Linked DNA regions of Macaca mulatta. The protein of the gene in region 2 interacts with the protein of the main gene of each other region in a pairwise test. Links are inferred from orthologs where the notes say so. Each region holds a gene or a part of one and is shown on either strand. Other genes may lie near its edges.

Region 1 (3,818 bases), on a different chromosome or scaffold from region 2:
AGTATTTATGTGTTTATGAAACATCAGCCAGAACCATCTCCAAGTTGTATCCCATTATTTGTGTAAGATGTCTTTTTAGAGCCCCAGTTTCTGCTTTCATAAAATGAGTATTCTGATACCTACCTAGGTCAGTCCACCCCATAACTCAATAACAAACCACCCCAAAACTCAGTGACATGATAACAGTAACCATTATTTCTTGCTGATGTGTGTTTGTGTCAGCTCATCAAGGCTGGGCCTGGCTGGGCTTGGCTCCCAGCTGTGGGTTGGGTGTAGCCTTGCTGCACATCTCTTTCATCCTTCTTGGACCACTGGCTACCTGAGGAATTATTTTCTCTTGGCAAAACGCTGGAGCACAGCAGGGCAAGTCCAACCATGCAAGAATACTTCCAATCTGTCCATGTCACATCGGCTAACATCCCACTGGTCAAGTCACATGACCACATCCAAACTCAAGAATCAAGAGAAGTACATTTTGTCAACTAAGAGTAGTTGACGACTGAAAATAAATATATTAAAGTTAAGCCATTCGATCTTTTTTTTTTTTTTTTTTTCCAAAACTAAGAACTGACTGTGGACTGGACACTGTGAAGTAATGGTGTGAAGTAATGGGTTAATTACCTTATGATATTATATGACTCAGACTTGTTAATAATTTAGACAAACCACAGTTAATCTGAGGTAAAACTGTAGCTTGATGATGAACTATAAATGAGTTTCTAACTTTGTAGAAGGAACCTTTCTGTAATGTGAGTATATGGTGAAAACTTTTTGTTTTGTGTTACCAATAGCTGTGTTGTTGTATTTCATTTACCTGGATTTATGTATAAACACCTAAATGCTGGTTTTATTACTATTATTATTATTATTATTATTATTATTTTTTTTTTTTGAGATAGGGTTTCGCTCTTGTTCCCCAGTCGGGAGTGCAGTGGCGCGATCTCGGCTCACTGCAACCTCCGCCTCCCGGGTTCAAGCAATTCTGCCTCAGCCTCCCGAGTAGCTGGGCCTACAGGCATGTGCCACCACGCCCGGCTAATTTCGTATTTTTTTTTTTTTTTGAGACGGAGTCTTGCTCTGTCGCCCAGGCTGGAGTGCAGTGGCCAGATCTCAGCTCACTGCAAGCTCCACCTCCTGGGTTCACGCCATTCTCCTGCCTCAGCCTCCCGAGTAGCTGGGACTACAGGTACCCGCCACCTTGCCCAGCTAGTTTTTTTGTATTTTTTAGTATAGACGGGGTTTCACTGTGTTAGCCAGGATGGTCTCGATCTCCTGACCTCGTGATCCGCCCGTCTCGGCCTCCCAAAGTGCTGGGATTACAGGCTTGAGCCACCGCGCCCGGCCAATTTTGTATTTTTAGTAGAGACGAGGTTTCACCATGTTGGTCAGGCTGGTCTCGAACTGCTGACCTCAGGTAATCCATCAGCCTTAGCCTCCCAAAGTTCTGGGATTACAGGCATGAGCCACCGTGCCTGGTCTAAATGCCGGTTTAAAAATGGTAGTCGTGCTGGAGGAGCATGCGCATTTTCTATTGGTTGTTTCCTATTGGTTGCCTTTTGCCCAAGTTCTGTACCTCAGCCTGTCTTTCCCCCCACTTGTGTCTGATACACTTGCATGATTTTTGCTTCATGTGACAATCATACCCCTCTTGTGGCATTGACAAAACTACTTTTTGTAAGTGTGATGACTGAGAAAATAAGGTATTTTCTCTTGCCAATTGGACATTTAATCTTAGGTACGAATAGTAAAGTAAGAAATGACATATTCTTTTCTTTGATCAAGACAAGACTTGGCAAATTTTTTTCAGTAAAGGACCAGATAGTAAATATTTTAGGCTTTGTGAACCATGCAGTCTCTGTTGGAAGTACCTAACTCTGCTGTTTAGCAGAAAAGCAGTTGTAGACAGTATGTAAATGAATGGGCATGGCTGTGTTCTGGTAAAACTTTGCTTATGGATGCTGAAATTTGAATTTCATAAAATTTTCATGTGTCACAAAATATTCCTTTGATTTCTTTTAAACCATTAAAAATGTAGAAACCATTCCTAGCTGCTGTGCTGTACAGAAGCAGGTTGTGGTCTAGATTTGACTCTGTAGGCTGTTGTTTACTGACCCTTTTGTCAAAACTATGATAGAGCTAGGAAATCTAAGAAAAAAAATTAAATGTCAGGCAAAGGAGGGTTTTTTTGAGAAAAAAAAGTTGGGTGAAACTGGTATTTTTATTACAAATATTATTAAATCCTATGTGCTACTAAATACTTACATTTAAAGAGCAATTATATTAGTTAATAGGTGCATTTCAATTTCCTAAATAAAGTACATTTAGGCTTCCTAAAAAGGTACATGCAGTCTATTTCTTTTCCCTTGCAGTTTCATAATTTCCTTTTAATTGTCCCACAAGATAGAGACACTTGTGAATATGTTAAAATTTAATAATTGCTTCTTAAAACTTAGCAATTCGGGCCACGCTGACTTTAAAAAAATTGAGAAATTTCATAAACAAACATAAAAGAACTTAAACACGTGTGCACTTGAACAAAAAGTGATGATGATGAGAGTATTGCCATGTGACTGCCTCCCCAGGTCAGGAAATGGAAAAATAGCACATTGCCGGCTCCTCCACAGAGTCACCCATCCCTCCCCTTACCATGCTTTCTAGAACACGATCCTGTCCTCTTCCACAGGATTAACCATTATCCCAATTTCCTTGTTTTCTTTATGGTTTTACTTTATATATTATGTCTTCTGAAACAATATGGGGTAGTTTTGCCTAATTTTGAACTTTAAATTGATGTAGTCATTCAGTGTGTATGCTTTTGGATTTTGCTTCTTTTGCTCAACATTATTTTTGCAAGCATCACCCTGGTAGTGCTTGCCATTATAATTTGTTGGGTGTAATCTTTCTGCTGAAAGATTATACCAAAGTTTATTAATTCAGTTCATTGTTGATGGACATTTGGTTTGTTTGCAGTTTCTATTACGACCAATGCTGTTGTGAATATTCTTGTATATGTATCTAGATGTATATATATCTAAGAGTCAGATGGCTGAGGCATAGGCGTAGGCATTGTCAGCTCTAATAGATACAGTCAAACTGTTTTCCTGAGTGGTTATACCATATTACACTCCTACCAGTCGTGTGGCAGGTTTTTTTAAAGTCAATATAAACATCTTAGTGTACCATCTGACTTTGAGCCAGGTCAACTTTGTCATAGTACTGGAATGGTGGCTGAAAAACAGCCCCGGGGCACTGTCGCTTTGCACCCCTTACTCTATTTCCCCTCCTTCAGGGGTGGCTTGTGAACATCATCACGGCAGATCATGTCTCCCCACTCCATGAAGCCTGTCTCGGAGGTCATCCCTCTTGTGTAAAGATTTTATTAAAGCATGGAGCTCAGGTAAGGGCAGCTGAAACAACATCTTAGAAACCAAGAATGAAAAATGACTATGTATATCCCTACTGAATAGCTTCCAGCACTTTTGATTAGGCTGATTTGAAATATGAAGACAGTTGTTTTTTAAGAAAATTATGTTCATCAGACTTGTTTGCTTTAGTGATAGGTGGATGCAATACTAAATTTTTAGTCGTGCTTACAGTCTATATCATTTTCTTTATCACACACTACTAATAGTTGTTAGACTTCTGTCTTCATTGTTATGGCTGGAAGGTAATGAAATATTGTGGAAAGCACACATTTGCCTGGGGTGGCTAGGATGTCTGAGGAGACAGAAAATCTATGTGGTCATTCACCCTTTGGCTGGCAACTTGGACTTGTTCACATGGTAGCAGGGATTGCAAGAGCAGCAAAAATGGACCTG
Region 2 (3,818 bases):
TGTCACCCAGGCTGGAGTGCAGTGGCACGATCTTAGCTCACTGCAGCCTCCGTCTCCTGGGTGCAAGAGATTTTCCTGCCTCCACCTCCTGAGTAGCTGGGATTACAGGCGTGCACCACCATGCCCAGCTAATTTATTTTTTTGTTTTTTTTGTTTTGTTTTTTGAGACCAAGTTTCACCCTTGTTGCCCAGGCTGGAGTGCAATGGCACGATCTCTGCTCACTGCAACCTCCGCCTCCCAGGTTCAAGCGATTCTTCTGCCTCAGTCTCTCGCGTAGCTGGGATCACAGGCATGTGCTACCACATGCACCAGCACACCCAGCTAATTTTGTATTTTTAGTAGAGACAGGATTTCTCCATGTTGTTCAGGCTGGTCTCGAATTCTCAACCTAAGGTGATCTGCCCACCTCGGCCTCCCAAAGTGCTGGGATTACAGGCGTGAGCCACTGTGCCTGGCTGGCCCATTCTTTTTTTTTTTTTTTTTTTGAGACAGAGTTTTGCCATGTTGGCCAGGCTAGTCTTTTTTTTTTTTTTTTTTTTTTTTGAGACGGAGTCTCGCTCTGTCACCCAGGCTGGAGTGCAGTGGTTTGGCCTTCGCTCACTGCATGCTCTGCCTTCCGGGTTCACGCCATTCTCCTGCCTCAGCCTCCCGAGTAGCAGGGACTACAGGCGCCCACCACCATGCCCGGCTAATTTTTTTTTTTTTTGTATTTTTAGTAGAGACGGGGTTTCAGCGTGTTAGCCAGGATGGTCTTGATCTCCTGACCTCGTGATCTGCCTGCCTCGGCCTCCCAAAGTGCTGGGATTACAGGCGTGAGCCACTGTGCCCGGCCGGCCAGGCTGGTCTTAAACTCCTGACCTCAAGTGATATGTTCGCCTCGGCCTCCCAATGTCCCTCTCTCTTTCATCTCTCTGCTTCTCCACACCTCTGTGTCTCTGTATTTCTCTCTCCCCCCATCTCTCCTGTGATCTCTCTCCTCCTCACCCCTCAGCCCTCCCCTCCGTGCAGACACTGACCTTGAGGTTCTCATGGTTGAGGTCAGTCTTGTGCTTGTCGGTGGGTTTGTAGCCCCCGTGGCGATCCGAGATGATGGGATCAAAGAGTTCCTTGAAAACTTCATAGGACTCCTCATCACCAGCCACGCAGCCCACAGTCATGATGAAGGGGTGACCTGGAGGGGTGGGGGTGAGGTCAGAACTGCTAGTCCCCAGCAAACAGGGCCTGGGCTCGTGGGCTCAGTGGAGACTGTGTGGACATGTGTCTGTCAGGGTTGTGGGGGGTACATTCAATACCTCTGGGTGGGAATTGAGAATACTAAGGGTTGGGCGCAGTGGCTCATACCTGCAATCCCAGCACTTTGGGAGGCCGAGGGGGGTGGATCTCTTGAGGTCAGGAGTTTGAGACCAGCCTGGCCAACAGGGTGAACCCTGTCTCTACTAAAAATACAAAAATTAGCTGGGTGTGGGGCACACGCCTGTAATCCCAGCTACTTGGGAGGCTGAGGCATGAGAATTGCTTGAACCAAGGGGGTGGAGGTTGCAGTGAGTCGAGATGGCACCACTGCACTCCAGCCTGGGTGATAGAACAAACTCTTTCTCAAAAAAAAAGAAAGGAAAAAAAAAAAAAGAAATAAGACTGAGGACTGGTGGGAACCGGGAGGGAAGACTGGGAGAGGTCAAGGTGGCTGGGAGGAGTCAAAGTAGGAGAGAAGAAAGAATGCGGGGCGTGGGGTCAAAGGAGAAGGGGGAGCTTCAGAGGGTACCTGGTGCTAAAAACATCAGCACCTCGGAAACATTAGCACCCAAAGTCATGACGTCTCAGCCTGAAATGTTGTTAGGATCTTGGGGTACCACCTGCCACAGAGGGTCAGGAAGGCCAGAGACTTGGAAGACCCAGTGGAAAAACAGGGGCCCGAAGAGAAAGGCCTCTCCACTGCATCACGCAGAGAGCTGGACGTGAGGGGCACTAGAGCCTCCTGTCTACTCCCAGCTCTCTTCGCCTTGTGAGCGAAAGGGCTTTGAGAAACAACCATAACATTAATAACATCCCCTATCCGATTCTCTTTTTTTTGAGACAGGGTCTCACTCTGTGGCTGAAGTACAGTGGCGCGATCTCGGTTTACTGCAACCTGCACCTCCCAGGCTCAAGCTATCCTCCCACCGCAGCCTCCTGAGTAGCTTGGACCACAGGCCCTCATTACCACACTTGGCTAATTTTTTTGTATTTTTTGTCGAGACAGGGTCTTGCTATGTTGCCCAGGCTGGTCTCAAACTCCTGGCCTCAAGCGATCCTTCCACCTGGGCCTCCCCAAATGTTGGGATTACAGGCATGAGCCACTGCACCTGGCCTCCCGTCAGAGCTTGAGCACTCACTTGGTGCTAGGCGCCACTGTAAGCACTGCACAGTCATTGACCTGTGTTTTCACAACATGGGTGCCCATTTTTCAGATGAGGAGACTGAGGTTCGGGAGATGAACCGACCTCCTCGGGGATCTCACATTATTCTCGTGCATGTTTATTGCGTGGTTTGCTGCATACCTTGCACTGTCCCAAGCCCTTTACGTATATCAGTGCATTGATTCTCACAACAGCCCCGGTTTACAGATGAGAAAACTGAGACCCCCCCCCCACTTCAGGGGAGGTGGGATGGGGCGTAGCCTGCAGCCTCTGGAGCCCCCATGTAGCCCCTTCAGTGCTCTACCAGGGAGGCTCACCTGGGTTGTCCACTCCTGTCTGGATGACATCGTCTAGGGTGAAGCCCGATGGGGTCTCCTTGTCCCGCAGCTTCTTGTAGAGATCAAGGGTCAGTACCTTGGCCATGTGGTTGTTATGTTTGCTGAGGTCGGGGTACTCCTCCTCAGGCTTGTAATTCAGCTTGAACTTGTTGTGAGTATTACCGAACGGCATGGTGGCGGTGTAGGAGACCTGATGGGCAGGGCAGGAGGGGAAGATTAGCTCGCATCTGTTTTCTTCTTCTTCTTCTTCTTTATTTATTTATTTTTATTTTTATTTATTTATTTATTTATTTATTTTTTTATTTTTTTGAGACGGAGTCTCGCGCTGTGTCACCCAGGCTGGAGTGCAGTGGCGCGATCTCGGCTCACTGCAAGCTCCGCCTCCCAGGTTCACGCCATTCTCCTGCCTCAGCCTCCGAGTAGCTGGGACTACAGGCGCCCGCCACCACGCCCGGCTAGTTTTTTTTGTATTTTTAGTAGAGACGGGGTTTCACCATGTTAGCCAGGATGGTCTCGATCTCCTGACCTCATGATCCACCCGCCTCGGCCTCCCAAAGTGCTGGGATTACAGGCTTGAGCCACTGCGCCTGGCCTTATTTTTATTTTTTTGAGACAAAGTCTCCCTCTGTCACCCAGGCTGGAGTGCAGTGGCGCAATCTCAGCTCATTGCAACCTCTGTCTCCCGGGTTCAAGTGATTCTCCTGCCTCGGCCTCCCGAGTAGCTGGGACTACAGGCACCCACCACCACGCCCGGCTAATTTTTTGTATTTTTAGTAGAGACGGGGTTTCACCGTGTTAGCCAGGATGGTCTCAATCTCCTGACCTCATGATCTGCCTGCCTCAGCCTCCCAAAGTGCTGGGATTACAGTCGTGAGCCACAGCTCTTTTTTTTGGGAAGGAGTCTCACTCTGTCACCCAGGTTGGAGTACAGTGGCGAGATCTCAGCTCACTGCAACCTCCACCTCCCAGGTTCAAGCGATTATCCTGTTTCAGCTTCCTGAGTAGCTGGGATTATAGGCGCACACCACCATGCCTGGCTAATTTTTTTGTATTTTTAGTAAGATGGAGTTTCACCATCTCTAC

Evidence for each region.
Region 1: the proteins of CKM (region 2) and ASB9 interact in binary tests that used the Homo sapiens proteins (3 or more experiments, as listed by UniProt). The two-hybrid records come from large-scale screens. The link is inferred for Macaca mulatta from reciprocal best matches to the Homo sapiens genes CKM and ASB9.

The regions. Positions count from the first base shown.
Region 1 is NC_133426.1:14,910,231-14,914,048, reverse strand, and holds part of ASB9 (ankyrin repeat and SOCS box protein 9), read left to right. Parts: intron 1-3,289; coding exon 3,290-3,397; intron 3,398-3,818. UniProt on the Homo sapiens protein: Substrate-recognition component of a cullin-5-RING E3 ubiquitin-protein ligase complex (ECS complex, also named CRL5 complex), which mediates the ubiquitination and subsequent proteasomal degradation of target proteins.
Region 2 is NC_133424.1:57,838,669-57,842,486, forward strand, and holds part of CKM (creatine kinase M-type), read right to left. Parts: intron 2,963-3,818; exon of another isoform or gene 2,926-2,962; 5' UTR 2,908-2,925; coding exon 2,715-2,907; coding exon of another isoform or gene 2,632-2,714; intron 1,199-2,631; coding exon of another isoform or gene 1,173-1,198; coding exon 1,018-1,172; coding exon of another isoform or gene 1,014-1,017; intron 1-1,013. UniProt on the Homo sapiens protein: Reversibly catalyzes the transfer of phosphate between ATP and various phosphogens (e.g. creatine phosphate).